4 linked regions of the Drosophila melanogaster genome follow. The gene in region 1 interacts genetically with each later gene. Each region holds a gene or a part of one and is shown in the gene's direction. Other genes may lie near its edges. The genes, in order: Sod1, Trxr1, Adck1 and Sod2.

Region 1 (3,741 bases):
TGATTCATTCAATGCGTGTCTTAAACATTTATTTTCGTATTTTCCAGTAGTGGCAGTCCGTACTACGTAACCAATCAAAGCTCTGGAGTGGCCACACCACAGACGCATGTGGAAGGAAGCGCAGCGAGCGGCGGCGGCGGAGGCGGCGGGGTTGGAGCTCTGCTTGCGCTAAAGAGGAACCATGTGATGGGCGGCGGGGCATCGCAGCATACGCTGCATCAGCAGCAGGCCGTGGCCCAGCAACAGCATTCAGAGATTATCTACGAGGAGTTGCCGACCGACTACAGCGGCCACATTGAGGCCAGCGAGGAGGAGTGCGTCACCACTGCCACCGATGCCACCGTGGCCAAGCGACCCAAGTATGTGTCGGAAGTGCTCTGATGCGTGCGGATCCAGAAGCACCGGCAGAACAAGGGCAAATAGTGAGGCCCATGGGTGTAAACGATTAGAAAGCAAAAACAAAAAAGTATCTCCATCTTGTATATTGAATTTGCCAATCAAAAACCTATACCTAAACCCCGAAATACAAATCAAATTAAATAGCCACACACGCAGAACTTAAGGAACATGAACGCACGCGAAGAGCAATGTATATGTAAATTGATATGGAACATTTTACAAATAGCAACTGTGAGATGATTGTGTTTGAAATGTTGGCCATGCAGCCGTTCAACGGCGGCGACTTATGCAAGCACACATTTTGAAAATTCGAAAACCCGATTCGAAGTAACGACTTTATCCCCTAGATCTGACGAATTCAATATGCTCGATGACGCTACTCTCTAAGTAATATAATAAATTTTAAGTTTACAACAAGGTAAAGCAGCAAACAAAGCAAAATTATCTAGATATATGCGATTGATTATTGTAATGATTGATGATTATGATGTTTAAGATGTTATAGCTATGTGACCGAATTGTGCGAGAAACGTGAAAAAAAATTTGGGGAAAATTAAGTAACAAGCAAGCAAACCACACAAGTAACAAACAAACAAACAAACAGGCGAATGAATAATATTACCTATCTACATACCTTTACCTATATCGATTTAAATATAATATATATATATATGTGTATATATATATATGTATATCTATATTAATATATATACAAATTATTAAAATACAAACAAAAACAAAAATGATGAAAATAAATAAGTAATATCTACAAATTTACGGATACAATAACAATATATAAAGATTGAAATGATAGCACATTATTTCTTATTAATGAAGAAAATCCCATTTAAGTGTTTGGACAAATTGTGTATTAAAAAAAAAAACAAAAATCAAATGTAAACTTTCTTGTTTCAATTTGTTAATATTTACCTGCTTTAATTGAATTAGATAGATGAATGAATACTAGTTGATACTAGTCAACAGGAGCGCAATCAAGTCTGGGCATTTATTGGGGAATTCCTGGATTCGTTTTTTATTTATACAAAACAAAGTAAATTGAATAGTTCCCGCCACTGTCATTGGAATAAATGGAAGGCTTCCAAGTGAACCACCCGTTCGTTGAACAGCTCAAAAAATTCAACGCCATTTGTGCAGTAAAATTGTTCCGTTTTCAAATTTTGTAATTTGTAGCTTTTATCCTTAAAAATGTAAATAAATGTCCCAATAAAACATGAGCTTGAAATATTACAAAGAAAAAATGCTTCCAGTAACGGCATAATAGTGTGAACGAAACTTTTGCACAACTGAACACTAACAGTAAAAGTTCCGCATGTATTTCTAAGCTGCTCTGCTACGGTCACACCATAGAAGATACCTGGAAAGTTCTCAACTTTTTTCGTTTTGATAAATTGATTAATTCATTCGAAATGGTGGTTAAAGCTGTCTGCGTAATTAACGGCGATGCCAAGGGCACGGTTTTCTTCGAACAGGAGGTGAGAATCCAAAATCATTTGAACTTCTCTGCTCGGCAAAATGTACGAAAAACAGAAGTTCTAAAGGTCAAATAGCCGGCTGCACCCGCGGCCCCCTCTTCCACTTCAATATGCTGCTTTAAATTCTGTCGAGCATTTTAATTAAGTCCGATTTGAGTTTACGCCTAGTCACCCAGCAAGTGCACCTTTATATTTATATAAGCCGCACCAAAATGCGCATATGTGTGTGCGCTCAAGTGCCTACAGCAAAGGTCACGAAATTGGTACTGGACATAAAAAGGAGTTAAGATATAAAGCTCACTTGTTCGTAAAGTATCGTTAAATATCAACAAATATTTGTTTTAGAATAAGCATTAGGAATATGGGAATAATTAGAATGATGCTGTTCATAATTAATTTGTACATCAAAGTCAAAGCAGCAATGTCAAGTGTCAAGTAAACGATTATAAACTTGATGATTACAGGTTATGTTTCAGTGCCGAGGAAATTTATGTTTTTAATCTATAAAGATAACCAAATGTTTACTTTGCTGCCTATAAATATTTCCGTTTAACGTGTGTCTATTAACAAATGTTATTTTCTATAATAACCTATTATCATATGAAGTTGGCCACGCTCGTTATCATAATCAGTGCTTCTGCTCACTATTATACACAACTTGTGTCTTATCAGTATTCGAGTATTATCTGAAGCGTTATAACCCAATCCCTTCATCCCGTCCACAGAGCAGCGGTACGCCCGTGAAGGTCTCCGGTGAGGTGTGCGGCCTGGCCAAGGGTCTGCACGGATTCCACGTGCACGAGTTCGGTGACAACACCAATGGCTGCATGTCGTCCGGACCGCACTTCAATCCGTATGGCAAGGAGCATGGCGCTCCCGTCGACGAGAATCGTCACCTGGGCGATCTGGGCAACATTGAGGCCACCGGCGACTGCCCCACCAAGGTCAACATCACCGACTCCAAGATTACGCTCTTCGGCGCCGACAGCATCATCGGACGCACCGTTGTCGTGCACGCCGATGCCGATGATCTTGGCCAGGGTGGACACGAGCTGAGCAAGTCAACGGGCAACGCTGGTGCCCGCATCGGGTGCGGCGTTATTGGCATTGCCAAGGTCTAAGCGATAATCTATTCCGATGTCGGCCACTGTGCTGATCTACTCTATTTAGCACTACCCACTGGAGATATACAAACGATATACATACTTCTAAACATAAATACATAGCCTGTGGTCTGTTAGTTGATACGCAACCTTTGAGGTTCAATAAATTGGTGTTTTGAAATTGCCCCATAAACAAAAGTTATAGTTTTCATTTGAGTTGAGATGGTAAGAATGAATATATCACTTGTTGCTCGACGAATTCGCAAGTAGAATCGGGTTATAGATTCGTATGAAATGAATTACATATTAGATGAGTGCAGAACCCAAAAATCACGATGAGACACACATTCGTTCATGTTTTGATAACATATCTCCGTTTTAGATTATTTATTTATTTTTGTAATTACTTTGGTTACTCTCCGGGCAGCCTGGTTAAAAGTCTTTAAAACACACTTTATAAACAATGAGTTAGGTAGTATTATTTACAAAAAATATTGTAAATCAAGATACTCGCCACATGAGTAGAAACTAATATTAATTTCGTGTGCGGTATAAATTCACTACAAAAGAACAAAGTCATATACTACGACGGGGATTTAAATGAACCTAGGTCTTGTTGAAATATGATTGGTAGACAATGCCCAGCGATGAAGTGGCGAATAGGGTGAAGTAGCTCCACCAGGTGGCAAAGCCCAGGAAACCCTTGTACACCTCCGTGGAGAAAACCTGAAAAAGAAATTATGATT
Region 2 (6,724 bases), on another chromosome or scaffold:
CGAGGACATGTTAATAATGGCGGCACGGCCCACGCCCATCGGCTGGGATTCGTTCGCTTTGGCTGCCTTCTTAAGGAGCGGCAGACACGCCTTGGCCAGCATGATGGGCACAACCGTGTTGGTCTGCAAGGTGTCGAGCAGCTCCTGCGATCGAACGGCCGTTATCCTGGCCGATTTGGGCGCTATGCCGGCATTGTTGAAGAGCACATTGAGGCCTTGGTCCTTGGTCACGCCCTCGATGTCGGCGACTAGCTTGTCATAGGCATCGAAATTTCTCAAATCTGCACGGAAAATATATTTATATGCGAGAGTGTTTAGCGGCTGGTAAAACATAATGCTTACCAATCTCAAGTATGTGTATGTTCGAGTGGTTCTTGGCTAGATCCTCCAGCTCCTGTGGGCCAAATTGGGAAAGACAAAATGTTTGAATAAGAAGCACATTATTAGTAAAAAAGCAGTTTATATATGAATAATTTTCCAGTTAAATTACTGTAATTTTTAGAGGCAAATTTGGTATTTCATGAGAGTTTAAATAGCGCGCCCAACGAGCGCGTTAGTGCCATAATAACCGATAGACGATAAGTGCTGCTGGTGTGACCGAACAATAGTCGGCCCAGCAATCGACAAGCCAATCGACGTCTCCCTTTCGCACGCTCGTACGAAAGTACAAAAGCTATTGCAAAAGTTGGCTCCGCTTATTCGTTTCGTGCTTTCGCGAGTGCCGAGAGCCGCTACAATACACGCTTAGCAGTTTTTACATTTCCGCTTCGACTACAACAACATTCACTACCCGCCGTTGATCCTTGTTTTCTGTCTGATTTACGTGGAGCACCTACCAACAAGCAACAAAATAATGGCGCCCGTGCAAGGTGAGTTTCACAGTTAATTCGATTCCAATTGAACCATTCAATTTATGCATGCCCATTTGGACGATTAAAAAGCGGTTTGTAGAAATAGTGGCTCTTGTGGATTGTTCGCGTAGCTTCTGTAGTTTCTGTAGCTCGACGGTTGTGAGTCACCGGTTTTGTTGGATTACTGGATTGTCTTAGTAGAGAGACAACGCAAAATAAGAAGAAAACATCTCTCACCTTTGCCTGCTCGCGATTCCGGCAGGTGGTAAATAGATGCTGCGGCGGCTGGGGAAGATTGAGCAGCGCCTTGACCAGGCCCAGACCCAATCCTCGATTGCAGCCGGTTATCAGGATGGAGTTCATGTTTTTTTTTTCCGAAGATCCGCGATCGAGTTGCTCGAAATCTTATCGCGTCGTACTTGAGATAAAACCAATAAAGGGCGGCACTACTATACGGGTTCCGTGTGTTCTGTGGATTTCACCAGACCCGCAGCCAGATCTTTCCGTGCTTATCAATCGACTTTATTGCCGTAACACAAGCGTGAAAATAGTGAAATGTTAGGAAAAATTTTGACGGCCGGCTGTTTCGTTCGGACAGCAGCAGTGTTACCAACCATCCGCGAGTTATCGATACACTTGCGCATTGCCAAACGTGCGTTTCGCACATTTCCAATTGGCAAAGGGCAGAACAACTGTTGTGATGTTCAAATCCCAAATGGAATTTCGCAATCCAATGGATGCTCCTTTATGGCAAATCCATTTTATCCCAAACATTCTCGTTTTTGCGGTACGCGCTCTTGCGCCCTCTCTCTTTCTCGCTGCTTCTGTTACGTAGCCGTTTATCGGCGCCTCTGCCTGCCCACCGCTTTCGCAGCATTCCCGGCCGAACCAGCGAACGTGTTTGTGTTGTGTGTTCCGCCGTCATTTTTCTGCACCCTTTTCGCGAATAGTTTCGTTTCGCCTCCAGCTGGTAGAGTGAAACGCCAAACGTTGAAGAAGGGGAAAGGCCAACAAGATGAACTTGTGCAATTCGAGATTCTCCGTTACGTTCGTGCGGCAGTGCTCGACGATTTTAACGTCTCCTTCGGCTGGCATTATACAAAACAGAGGCTCACTGACAACAAAGGTTCCCCATTGGATTTCCAGTAGTCTCAGCTGTGCCCATCACACGTTTCAGCGAACTATGAACTTGACGGGACAGCGAGGATCACGCGACAGTACTGGAGCTACCGGTGGGAATGCTCCAGCCGGATCCGGTGCCGGCGCACCACCACCCTTCCAGCATCCACATTGCGACAGGGCGGCCATGTACGCGCAACCGGTGCGAAAGATGAGCACCAAAGGAGGTGAGCATCGATATCGATTGATATTCTGATTAGATCTTTGCTGTTGCCGCCGCAGCTGCTGCTCCTGTTGCCGCCGGTTGGCAACGCGGTCGATTGTCGCGGTTTTCTTGCTTGTTGTTTTTTCTGGGTCTTCTTGTGTTTAACCGACGCCATTATGCAATAACCGTTAGTTGCCTGGCCAAAAAGTCCATTACTCTGCTCTTATTACCTGGCTTATCGGGTTTCTGCGGCACGTATTCGCCAAGGGTTTATATGCCTGCCCGGCATTTGCTGTCTCACATTTGCACCGTCATCGTCAATCGTCATCGCGCACCCGCTCCAACTGGAATTGTACAGTCGGGGTCGCGCGAACAGCACTCGAAACTCGTATCATGCTGAAGTACATGATTTGCGCCATCGTTGTGGGCGCCAAAAAGAGCACATCCTCTAAGTATAATGGTCAACAAAGTTCTGAATCGCGTATAAATACTATGTCAGTCGAATTTTTTTAATTGAATTATGGATTGCTCATAAAACCATTACTCAATTGCAGCTTAAACAATATCAGTTATTTGCCTCAAAAAAGAATTACATCATATGACTTAACGAATTAATAATATTTGTTAAATTACATTCATACAAGTCACTTGTATTGCCATTTTGCCTTTAGCTGGTAAAAAAAAACTAATATCTATTTATATGAAGTTAAACGTATTTGATGTTTTAATTTGTAATATAATATAAATCCCACATGCCACGATCAAGTTTTCTTGTTAAATGAATAATTAGCCAATCGAGCAGATACGAAGCTTCTAATTCCGAAAACAATAGAAGAATTTACTTATAAATATATGCCATATTCTGATTTCAAATGGTAATTAAGGGTATAATAGGATTTCTTAAAGCACCAACGTGATATGTGTGATTTTTGTCGAATGCGGTGCTCTTGAACGAATAACCCTTTGCGGAATGTTCGAGAATCGCTTTATGATGATGATGATGATGATTTCACCATATCAGTCGGGTGCATTTATTCCCTTTATCTGTGTTTTCTATTTCGTATCTCTCGTATCCGTCGCTCAACGAGCGCCCGCCATCGTCTTTGATCTTTCATCATCATTGCTGAGCTGCGTCATCACCACTTCATTCCGCAATTAATTGCAGTGTGACGACAACAATTGTTTATTTGCACTCGCATTCGTACGTAGCCACCTGATTTCCCCCTGTTCCTGGCCAGGATTAGCATTCCGTCCGATAAAAGCGAATTGTGTGTGGTGTTGCCAACTAGTTTTGGGGCGTAACCATGACAAAGTCCGGCGGGTCAAAGCAAACCGAATGGGGGGGCGTAGGTGGACGGACGGAAGAAAGGCGTGGCCGGGCTGGGATGGGCGTGGCTTGGTGTGTGGCGATGTCGCTAGATGATTGCTCCACTTTGATTCGAACTCCCACTGACCCAGTGGCATGTGTGGCATTCGGCAGCACTATCGCTACCTGGCAACTGAAGCCAAGGAGCTCGACGGGATTGCACGGTGCAGATTACGGATTGCAGGAGGCCAAACAGTCTTCGTTCCGCACTTCTTTGGTCTGGATGCATCTGTTCGAATTCATACCGGCTTCCCAGTTGGTCGAGGGTGAACCACGCCACCGGAGGAGCATCTACCGATCCGCCTATCTGGACATACGACTGCGCGAGGAGTCCACCAAAGGCAGGCGGGGATTAGCCATAATCATGAGTGAAGCTAAAGAGAAACTTGAGTAGTTGGCACCACATGGCTAATTGATATCATTACCTATCACTGATAAGGATTTTCAACTAATCTAGATACTGGTTAAGAACAAAAACAGACCATGCCAATACAACATGGCTATTGATGTTACTAACGGTGATAAGTTTTTAATAATACAAGGTGAATTGGCTGTGCTACGATTAGATTTCCTGACGGCTCCTCATGTTCTGTGACCTCTTGACCTCTTTAAGCCCAATTTTGGCAGTAGATTACATATTTCTATAGACAAAAGGCGATGAATCAAACGAAAACCTTTTTTCTCCTGCAGGATCCTACGACTACGACCTTATTGTGATTGGAGGCGGCTCAGCTGGCCTGGCCTGCGCCAAGGAGGCAGTCCTCAATGGAGCCCGTGTGGCCTGTCTGGATTTCGTTAAGCCCACGCCCACTCTGGGCACCAAGTGGGGCGTTGGCGGCACCTGCGTGAACGTGGGCTGCATTCCCAAGAAGCTGATGCACCAGGCCTCCCTTCTGGGCGAGGCTGTCCATGAGGCGGCCGCCTACGGCTGGAACGTGGACGAAAAGATCAAGCCAGACTGGCACAAGCTGGTGCAGTCCGTACAGAACCACATCAAGTCCGTCAACTGGGTGACCCGTGTGGATCTGCGCGACAAGTAAGTGTGACTATATCTATGGCTTCCGCTCGAGCATCCCCACTAATTATACCCTTCTATTTGCGCTCAGGAAAGTGGAGTACATCAATGGACTGGGCTCCTTCGTGGACTCGCACACACTGCTGGCCAAGCTGAAGAGCGGCGAGCGCACAATCACCGCCCAGACCTTCGTCATTGCCGTTGGCGGCCGACCACGTTATCCGGATATTCCCGGTGCTGTCGAGTATGGCATCACCAGCGATGATCTGTTCAGTTTGGACCGCGAGCCCGGCAAGACCCTGGTGGTGGGAGCTGGCTGTAAGTAGCTACTTTCATTTGCTTACATCAAATTGATGAATAACCCATTCGGTTTCTGCTCTTTCACTCAGACATTGGCTTGGAGTGCGCTGGATTCCTGAAGGGTCTCGGCTACGAGCCCACTGTGATGGTGCGTTCTATTGTGCTGCGTGGCTTCGACCAGCAGATGGCCGAGCTGGTGGCAGCCTCGATGGAGGAGCGTGGCATTCCCTTCCTCCGCAAGACGGTGCCGCTGTCCGTGGAAAAGCAGGATGATGGCAAGCTGCTCGTGAAGTACAAGAACGTGGAGACCGGCGAGGAGGCCGAGGATGTTTACGACACCGTTCTGTGGGCCATCGGCCGCAAGGGTCTGGTGGACGATCTGAACCTGCCCAATGCCGGCGTGACTGTGCAGAAGGACAAGATTCCAGTGGACTCCCAGGAGGCTACCAATGTGGCAAACATCTACGCTGTCGGCGATATCATCTATGGCAAGCCAGAGCTGACGCCCGTCGCCGTTTTGGCTGGCCGTTTGCTGGCCCGCCGCCTGTACGGAGGATCTACCCAGCGCATGGACTACAAGGATGTGGCCACCACCGTTTTCACGCCCCTGGAGTACGCCTGCGTCGGCCTGAGCGAGGAGGATGCCGTCAAGCAGTTCGGAGCCGATGAGATCGAGGTGTTCCACGGCTACTACAAGCCCACGGAGTTCTTCATTCCCCAGAAGAGCGTGCGCTACTGCTACTTGAAGGCTGTGGCCGAGCGCCATGGTGACCAGCGCGTCTATGGACTGCACTATATTGGCCCGGTGGCCGGTGAGGTTATCCAGGGATTCGCTGCCGCTTTGAAGTCTGGCCTGACTATTAACACGCTGATCAACACCGTGGGCATCCATCCCACTACCGCCGAAGAATTCACCCGGCTGGCCATCACCAAGCGCTCCGGACTGGACCCCACGCCGGCCAGCTGCTGCAGCTAAAGCGGGAACGCAGCTCAGCCGCCTGGGACGTGTCGAAGCCGCTTGCTCCACCCGAAATCCCGTAGATGAATGGTTGTTGTCGCGGCCCAGCGATCGATGAGTTCAATAGTTCCGTTTCGTTTCCACAATTAACACCCAACACAATAGCTCTGCGCAAGGGAGGGGCACTGGGCAGCGATGGCGGGTGGAACGACACCAGTGGAACTACCCGCGCGACCAGCCCAACCCACGACTGCTGCGCCGCCGACATGCACTCAAAATTTTGAATTTGTTTGAACCTATGAAATTAACTATGAAATCCCCTAAATGTACGGTTGAAGAATATAATTTTTCACCAACAAACCCCTCTGTGTTTCAGTTCTGTGCATTTCCTTTAAAACATACCTCGACCTTTAGCCCTTCCTCTGCCTTTTCAATCAAGTAAGTTCATTAGCCATGCAAATGGCTTGACTTGACCTGGCTAAATCGATTCTGTCTGCCAGCCTGACAACTTGTTAGCCACCCGACTAATTGCTAATGCCATTGCTAGGGGAATCTTTGCCCTCGAGGGCTATAAATCAGCTACGAACGATGGCACCCTGGAGATACATATATCAGTGGGTAATAAATTATACTTTAGTTTTCAAAGGAAAAACAGTGCGTGATAAAGTGTAATAGAAGCTACGAAAAGGTTGAAGTTTATGACCTAAGGAATCCTCGCAAGCAAATCAAAATCAAATTAAGACAGTAAATTGATGCAATCAATTAATGAACAGCAAAGAGAATTCAATAGCTTCTATAAGGAATTAGCATTAATCATATATGTATGTATGGAACACTTTCGAGGTGGTATCTCCGATTGGATGCCACGAAACAAAGCGAGATGGCTATACTATGAACCAAGCGACTTGGA
Region 3 (4,682 bases), on another chromosome or scaffold:
TAGGCCTGCGAAAACGCCCAATAAGAAGACTGCTCGAATGAATGACAGCTTCTTCACCACTGAAGAAAAGAAGAAGCTCGGAGACTATAACACCAACACATTTAATCCCACGGAGGAAGCAGGAGAGGCGAGTAATAAGCCGAAAACGAATAAGAGGTTTGTTATCATCGATGGTAGCAATGTCGCCTTTGCGTAAGTTCTCTGCTTAAAGCTAACTCTAGACGGACTATTTATTTCATTTTCATTTGACAGTCATGGCAACTCAAACGTGTTTTCATCAGAGGGAATAAAGTATTGCTTGCAGTATTTTGAGAAAATGGGTCACGAAGTTAAGGCTGTGGTTCCAATGTTCCGGAAAAACAACTTCAAGTCTTCGAATCCCGAGCTTCTCGATAAGCTGCACAAGGAAGGGAAGATTGTGTTTACGCCGTGCAAAAACATTCCCGGTCAAATTACGTCTAGCTACGATGATCGGTGAGCTCCTTAGAAAAAACTTCTATTTAGAAATGGAAATGCATAATTTTTTTTTTCAGTTTCATTTTGCAGCTGGCATACGAAAAGAATGCCGCCGTGGTTTCCAACGACAACTACAGAGACCTGATTAATGAAAATCCTGCATTTAAATTGATCGTTGAGAATCGAGTTCTTGGTTACTCCTGGTGCGACAACATATTCATTTTACCCAAGGATCCTTACGGCCGCTGGGGACCTACCCTCGACGAAATTTTGAGGTGCTAATGCACCTAGCCATATATTTGTTTTCAAATTATTCTTTAGTTTCGTGTTATATCTTAAGTTAGTAGTTTTCATTTAGTTTGGTTGCGAATTATTCAACTTTCTTTTCCTTTACAATTAGCGTTAAGTTGGTCAATACTGAAGAGTTAATACGCAGCGTTTACTCATTTTATTAGCATATAGCATATAGTTTTCGACCAGAAGGGTTTTCATATGCCTACTATTTTAAAAATCTTGCAAAATTACGAAGTTCATTATTTACATATAATTTTCGACCAGAAAAATTTTTTAATATGCACTATACGTTTATTTATTTATTTACTCCAATGGGGTTTATAAGTTATGCAAAATTAAAGAGTTGCCGAGGAGCAAGATTTATTTACAAAGGCAAAGCTGTACAGTGTCTTGTTTAGTGTATAAATAATAATAGATTTACTATTTCTCAGAAGTCCAATGCTTTGTTACACCACTGGTGGTTGGCCGTTGACCAAAAATACGGTGGTGGTGGTGGAAGTGGTGGTTGTGGCCACGTTCGCCTCGTAAACCGGCGGTGGTTCGTTAATTCCAACCGCCAAATTGGGATTGCTCGCTTCCAAGCTGGTGGCTATGGTCAGTGTGCTGTCCTGCTTTCGCTCGCTAAAAGCGGCCTCGTCGTAGCTGGGCGGCAAATCCAAGGTCTTGGGCAGGACACTAACTTCGTTCTGGCTGTTTGAGCACACGTTTCCGACTCCTCCGGAGCCGCCGTTGCAATTGTTCGTCACATTGATCTCCATTTGGCGACGGGCTGCGAAAAAAGAGATTTAAATCGTAGTGGACAAGGAAACCTCAGAGAATCTCTTTAAAAACGGAAGTTAGCAACTATATCTTTTAAATATACGTCTAAATCGCTGCGTTCTGTTAACCGATACCTGCTAATATTGGTATTCCTTTATATATAGCGTAACATGTTCTGTTAACCGTTAAATGTTACCCGCTTTTAAAGCAGAAAAAGCAACCAGCCTTCCACAGGGGGGTCGGGTCTCACTAATGACTTTCAACATACTGTTCGAGTCGTTCTTTATTTTAAACGACATTTATAATAACGTTTTTCATGCTGATTAAAAAGCCGTTATATTATGGTAAGAGCACTCAACCCCCTTATGCCAAAACAACTACGCCCTTGAGCTCTGCTATTGGGTCAGCTGCTCTGACGCCAGGCCAACAGCTGATTGCGCCAACTAAGGCCACCACAGAAGTGGAAGCGCATCAATTTAATCACAGACTTTGGAATTTCAACACCTACGCGCCGTTGAACTCCGGCGCTATCTGTAGTGCACCATATCGAGTAAGTGAAACTATTGGCAGTCATTCCGAGCGAGCCGCGACTCACCTTCAGTCAGTTGTGTTTACATAATGGCGCAGACGAAATTACTGAGGTGAAAGTTTAGCTACATGTGAGCGCTGGAAAATGTAAATGGGAAAAATGTAAATGAAAATGCTGGCGGAGATGCAACAGGTTAAGTGGGCTGTATTCGCCAAAAATCAGTTAGCGGAGGGCAAAGTTCAAAGTGCCTCAGTGCCTTGGTTCCGCGTAAAACTACGCGCTTAATTTAGGTGAAAGCCCAAAGGTTAATCGGCATTGACACCTGTTGTTTTTGCACACCGGACTAAACGCTCTTCATTTTGCAGCCGGAGGAATGCTGTTGCGTCGCGTTCTGGGCTACGGAGTAGTCGGCGCCGGACTGGCCTCCGCCGGCTGGAGCCTGCACACCAACGACTACGATCCCAACTCACTCGGAATCGTCCGGCTGTCGCGATCCGCCGCCGCCGTCGTGGACGTGGCACTCACCTACAAGCGGGAACTTTACTACAAGGAATGGGATAAGGAGACGCCCGAGTACAAGGCGGAAAAGAGCCGGGTCCACAAGATAGCCGCCGAGAAGCTACTTCAGCTGATCTGCATAAACAAGGGTGTCTACATCAAGGTGGGCCAGCACATAGGGGCCTTGGAGTACCTGCTACCCAAGGAGTTTGTGCAGACCATGAAGGTACTTCACTCCGATGCGCCGCAAAACCCCATTGAGGACCTGTATAAGGTAATCCGACAGGATCTGCACTGCAATCCGGAAGAAATCTTCGACAGCTTCGAGAGGGAGCCGCTGGGAACTGCTTCCCTTGCCCAGGTACATAAGGCGCGCCTCAAGACCGGCGAGCTGGTGGCCGTGAAGGTGCAACATCCCTACGTTAAGGGTAACTCCCGCGTTGACATGAAGACCATGGAACTGGCCGTTAATGTGCTGGCTCGGATATTTCCCGACTTCAAGATCCACTGGCTGGTTGAGGAGTCTAAAAAGAACTTGCCAATCGAACTCGATTTCCTAAACGAGGGACGTAACGCCGAGAAAGTAGCCAAGCAGTTCAAGAAGTACTCGTGGCTTCGGGTGCCCAAGATATACTGGAAATATAGCTCTTCTCGAGTCCTAGTCATGGAGTACCTGGAGGGTGGGCATGTCACGGACTTGGACTACATACGGCGAAACAAAATTGACTCATTTGCGGTGGCCAATCGCATTGGGCAGCTCTACTCCGAGATGATCTTCCGCACCGGTTTCGTGCACAGCGATCCGCATCCAGGAAACATCTTGGTAAGACGCACGCCGGAAAACAGTCTGGAGATAGTTCTGCTGGATCACGGGCTGTATGCAAATCTGACGGACAAGTTTCGGTACGATTATTCCAATCTCTGGCTGAGTATCCTTAAGGTGGACCGCAAAGCGATGCGACAACACAGTGAGCAGCTGGGAATTAAGGTATTTTCGCTTGGGAGGTGGATTTGAACCTAAACCTTCTAACCTTCTAAACCTTCAATCCAGGGCGATCTGTACGGTCTTTTCGCATGCATGGTGACGGGACGACCTTGGGAGACGGTGATGCAGGGCCTGACCAAAGTCAAATATTCCAAAGAAGAGGTAAGTTCGTGCCGGAAATTCTTCTCTTCAATTACTCGTAGTATATGCTTTGATTCTGCAGAAGAACACGCTGCAAAACAACACGTCCCTGGTGCTGCCGCACATTTCCGACGTATTGGAGCAGGTGGACCGTCAGATGCTGCTCATTCTGAAGACAAATGACTTGATCCGCGGAATTGAGTCCACGCTGCGCACGCAGAACCGGATGACCGCCTTCTGGGTTATGTCCAAGTGCTGTGTTCAATCTTCGTACGCTGAACAGCGAGCCAAGCAGTCTGATTCCGGATCCTCGCGAATCCTGTGGCTGCGGGTGCGCGAGCGATGGGAGCTTTTCAAGCTCAACTGCTACTACCTCTACCTGGGACTGATTAATTTTGGTTTCCTTGAAGCTCTCAAGCAGGTTATTTAGACTAAACGGTGTCCCCCAATTAAAAGTACAAAACTCTTCACGAGGAAAGGGAAATTACCTCGTTGTCTCTGCTGGGCCAGATTCCGCACATTGGTCTCTCGCTTGCGTTTGGCGCTCTTCGGGGAGAGAGTGAATCATTAGCAGGAGCAGGTAGTGTCCCATTCCGAATGGGCTTACCATAATCATGGCCAGAGGAAAGGCGATGACGAAGAGGAAGACCAGCACAATGTAAATGACATAGCTGGGATAAAATAACATGTATGGACCATCGTAGCCGCCACCGTTGATCCAAATTGTGACGGAAGTGGTGTTAACGTATTCCCAATCCGATGTCGTACTTTCAGTGGTGTTAAGTGTTCCGTTGGCCACCGTGGTGGAGTCAAAAGGGGTGCTGACCGTCGCGTTTATGGCAGGGGCCATGTTGAACTCGGGTGTTAATTCCTGATTGGAACTGAAAAATGTCTCGAAGACAGCAGTTCTCTGACGAACAGACAGAGCCGACTAACCTGAACTACTGGCCACCGAATTGATAGGACATCCGGGCATGGGTCAGACTCGGGGCTGACAGCGAAGAACGCACATATTTGCTT
Region 4 (3,272 bases), on another chromosome or scaffold:
TGGACTATGGCGGAACCAACTTCTTCGTACTCCAAGCTGTCGATCCACATGTTTTGGAAGCTCGTGAGTGAGGCCAAGACGGAACCACCCGTCCAAACGGAGAATCTGCGGTCTGGACTAGCGTTAACCTTGATTCGGATGGATGGTGGAGCCATTTCGGTTAGGTCTTGCAGGAATCTATGCTCGATGTTACGAAACATGGTCGTACCGCCAGAGAGAACAATGTTCGCATACATATCCTTTCGCAGATCCATGTCGCAGTTGGTTATCGAGTGATGGGTGGCCTCGTGGATGCCCATCACCTCCTGACCCAGCAAACTGGGTTGGAAGAGAGCCTCCGGGCAGCGGAATCTCTCGCAGCCCAAAACGATTTTCTGCCCATCTGGCAGCTCATAGGTTTCCACCTTTCCGTGGAGATCCATTTCCTTGGCATAGTTCATTGACACATAGCAGAGTTTCTCCTTGATTTCACGCACGATTTCCCGTTCAGCAGAGGTGCCCATTGTAACGCCCCTCTCCAGAAGCAGCTTGCATAGATAATCGGTGAGGTCCCTGCCGGCCAGATCAACTCGTACACAGGCGTGGGGCAGGGCAAATCCTTCGTAGATCGGTACCGTGTGCGTCACACCATCACCCGAGTCCACCACAATGCCCACAGTACGCCCGGTGGCGTAAAGTGAGAGCACAGCCTGAACTGCTACATAAAAAGCTGGCACCTGAAAGTGTTCGAACATAATCTCTGTCATCTTCTCTCTATTCTTCTTCGGATTCAGTGGGGCTTCGGTGAGTAGAGCCGGCAAATCCATTGGATCCGCCCGCAAGAGCTCGTACGTGTGCTGCCAAACCATCTCCATTTCATCCCAGTTCTTGACCATTCCGTGCTCGATGGGATACTTTAGGGTTAGTATTCCCCTTTTTCGGGCTGCCGCCTCGCCAATAACACTATCACCGATCACGGAATCCAGCAGGACGTTCAGGTGACGAGGTCTGCCCACAATCGACGGGAAGACAGCACGGGGAGTATCTTCTGGGGAGAATCCAGCCTTACATACTCCAGAGCCGTTGTCAATAACCACTGCGGCGTGGTGTGAATTACTATCTACCTCGCTGCTCATGTTTCCAGGAGAGGTTGCTGAACGAATCATGGTCAAATCATAAAATCTTTAGCTTATTTAAGCAACTTACGTAAATGTAGATATTTGTGAAGAATGTTCTGTGCCCGTTTATTTGTTATATCGATTTTGATTCGGGAAGGTATTTGAAATGTAGACATGTTGTGTGCTGTGTTCCAGTCGGATTTTTAAACTTATGACGTTAATTTCATGGTTTATTTCCAATTTAGCGCCATGACATACAGAGGCCAAAAATCGATTAATTCAAGTATCAATCGAATGGATGCAGTCGATACGTAAGCAGCTAAAATATGCTAATAGTCACTAAAGTAGTATTTAAACATAAGAAATATTTAAGAAATCCTCAATATGATTTGAATATGTTTCAGTGCAATGTTTCAATTAAAAATAGTTTTTAATTTCTTTTAGTTTTACTATTTAACTTCAATATATATAAGTTGATCTCACATCACTGACTGATTGGGGTCTTTCGATATTTTCTCATCTGCTCATCTCTAGCAGTAAATTGTTCAAATAGAACAAGCGAAATAACGAGAACGTAAGCCTTGTTTTATTTGATATAAAATCTGATATCGGGACTTAGCCTTATTAGCAGTCGAATAAAACGCAGATATGTTCGTGGCCCGTAAAATTTCGCAAACTGCAAGGTAAGTTGCGAAAAAAAGTATGCCCAAATCGATGCCGGCTGATTACATAAATAGCAACAAATGGCGACCCTGATCTTGAGGACATTATAAAACAAGACACACTTAACCCTTTGCAGCCTGGCGGTGCGTGGCAAGCACACCCTACCGAAGCTGCCCTACGACTATGCCGCCCTGGAGCCTATCATCTGCCGGGAGATCATGGAGCTGCATCACCAGAAGCACCACCAGACCTACGTCAACAATCTAAATGCCGCCGAGGAGCAGCTGGAGGAGGCCAAGTCGAAGAGCGACACCACCAAGCTGATTCAGCTGGCTCCTGCCCTGCGTTTCAATGGCGGTGGCCACATCAACCACACCATCTTCTGGCAGAACCTCTCGCCCAACAAGACCCAGCCCAGCGATGATCTGAAGAAGGCCATCGAGTCGCAGTGGAAGAGCCTCGAGGAGTTCAAAAAGGAGCTGACCACGCTGACCGTGGCGGTCCAGGGCTCCGGCTGGGGCTGGCTGGGCTTCAACAAGAAGTCGGGCAAACTGCAACTGGCCGCCCTGCCCAACCAGGATCCCCTGGAGGCCTCCACCGGCCTGATCCCGCTCTTCGGCATCGATGTCTGGGAGCACGCCTACTATCTGCAGTACAAGAACGTGCGTCCCTCCTACGTGGAGGCCATCTGGGACATCGCCAACTGGGATGACATCTCGTGCCGCTTCCAGGAGGCCAAGAAGCTCGGTTGCTAAGCACAGCCGGCGATTGCGTATGTTTAATCTATAAGCATCTGCGGATCGGAGATCCTAAATTGTAGTCTAAGTTGCGGCTAATAAATTGGTACCAGCTAGCAACTAATTTTTATAATTTTTATGAATGGGAATAAAACAATTTAAAACATAATTTCCGAAGATAACGCTTCACAAAGGCGTATTGAAACTATTACTTCATTGAGGAATTAAAAAATATACATATACCTATTCATATTTTTTATTTTTATCAATTTTATTACGCTCCAAAAAAATTAATTTTTATATTAAATTAAAATATCGCAAATACTGTAAATGTTTTACAACACTGCCGCCCATGGTGCCATCTCTAGCAAATCAGCTGTGCGCGAGCCAAACAAAAACAAAACAAAAGTCAGCCTGCCGCGAAATCGGGGGAGGAAAATTGACATTTCCACCGAGTTTTCCCGAACTTGCGTGCGCGCAGCTGCAAACAATTTTCCAGCACGCGTATCCGAATGGTGGAACAAATGGCCAGCCGCTGGCAGAGTCGTTTGTTGCCTGTTCGCGTAATGGCCATCCTCGAAAATCGCCCGGAGTTTTGAAATCGAGAGACCAGTACGAAACAAAGGAAAATCATTTAATTTCCTGAGGGCGGTGACGAATGAAAAACATACAAAATAAACCACTTGAGTGCAATAATAATTTAATAAAGAACTGTGATTGTGAGTGTGTGAGGAGAACTGTTGACGCCCATCAAGGAATTTAACTTCTAAACTTC

Evidence for each region.
Region 2: of Sod1 (region 1) and Trxr1, changing one enhances a phenotype caused by changing the other (phenotypic enhancement), as found in Drosophila melanogaster (one study listed by BioGRID).
Region 3: of Sod1 (region 1) and Adck1, changing one suppresses a phenotype caused by changing the other (phenotypic suppression), as found in Drosophila melanogaster (one study listed by BioGRID).
Region 4: of Sod1 (region 1) and Sod2, changing one enhances a phenotype caused by changing the other (phenotypic enhancement), as found in Drosophila melanogaster (one study listed by BioGRID).

The regions. Positions count from the first base shown.
Region 1 is NT_037436.4:11,111,725-11,115,465, reverse strand, and holds Sod1 (superoxide dismutase 1), read left to right. Parts: upstream 1-1,725; 5' UTR 1,726-1,826; coding exon 1,827-1,892; intron 1,893-2,617; coding exon 2,618-3,013; 3' UTR 3,014-3,185; downstream 3,186-3,741. Other genes in the region: FoxK (forkhead box K), read left to right, coding at 48-381; emei, read right to left, coding at 3,602-3,721. UniProt on the Drosophila melanogaster protein: Destroys radicals which are normally produced within the cells and which are toxic to biological systems.
Region 2 is NC_004354.4:8,241,863-8,248,586, forward strand, and holds Trxr1 (thioredoxin reductase 1), read left to right. Parts: upstream 1-1,719; 5' UTR 1,720-1,866; coding exon 1,867-2,197; intron 2,198-2,326; exon of another isoform or gene 2,327-2,568; coding exon of another isoform or gene 2,569-2,635; intron 2,636-3,525; exon of another isoform or gene 3,526-3,764; coding exon of another isoform or gene 3,765-3,882; intron 3,883-4,231; coding exon 4,232-4,577; intron 4,578-4,647; coding exon 4,648-4,874; intron 4,875-4,945; coding exon 4,946-5,832; 3' UTR 5,833-6,171; downstream 6,172-6,724. Other genes in the region: sni (sniffer), read right to left, coding at 1-281, 343-394, 1,089-1,214. UniProt on the Drosophila melanogaster protein: Thioredoxin system is a major player in glutathione metabolism, due to the demonstrated absence of a glutathione reductase.
Region 3 is NT_033778.4:24,609,764-24,614,445, forward strand, and holds Adck1 (aarF domain containing kinase 1), read left to right. Parts: upstream 1-1,939; 5' UTR 1,940-2,059; exon of another isoform or gene 2,060-2,081; intron 2,082-2,118; exon of another isoform or gene 2,119-2,403; 5' UTR 2,404-2,411; coding exon 2,412-3,524; intron 3,525-3,587; coding exon 3,588-3,683; intron 3,684-3,744; coding exon 3,745-4,092; 3' UTR 4,093-4,143; downstream 4,144-4,682. Other genes in the region: CG42360 (uncharacterized protein), read left to right, coding at 1-192, 253-474, 534-738; CG4741 (uncharacterized protein), read right to left, coding at 1,197-1,519, 4,151-4,208, 4,270-4,512. UniProt on the Drosophila melanogaster protein: Essential for maintaining mitochondrial cristae formation and mitochondrial function by acting via YME1L to regulate the mitochondrial structural proteins Opa1 and Mitofilin. This function is likely to be kinase-independent.
Region 4 is NT_033778.4:16,772,263-16,775,534, reverse strand, and holds Sod2 (superoxide dismutase 2 (Mn)), read left to right. Parts: upstream 1-1,619; 5' UTR 1,620-1,745; coding exon 1,746-1,780; intron 1,781-1,896; coding exon 1,897-2,515; 3' UTR 2,516-2,750; downstream 2,751-3,272. Other genes in the region: Arp53D (Actin-related protein 53D), read right to left, coding at 1-1,132, 1,186-1,273. UniProt on the Drosophila melanogaster protein: Destroys superoxide anion radicals which are normally produced within the cells and which are toxic to biological systems.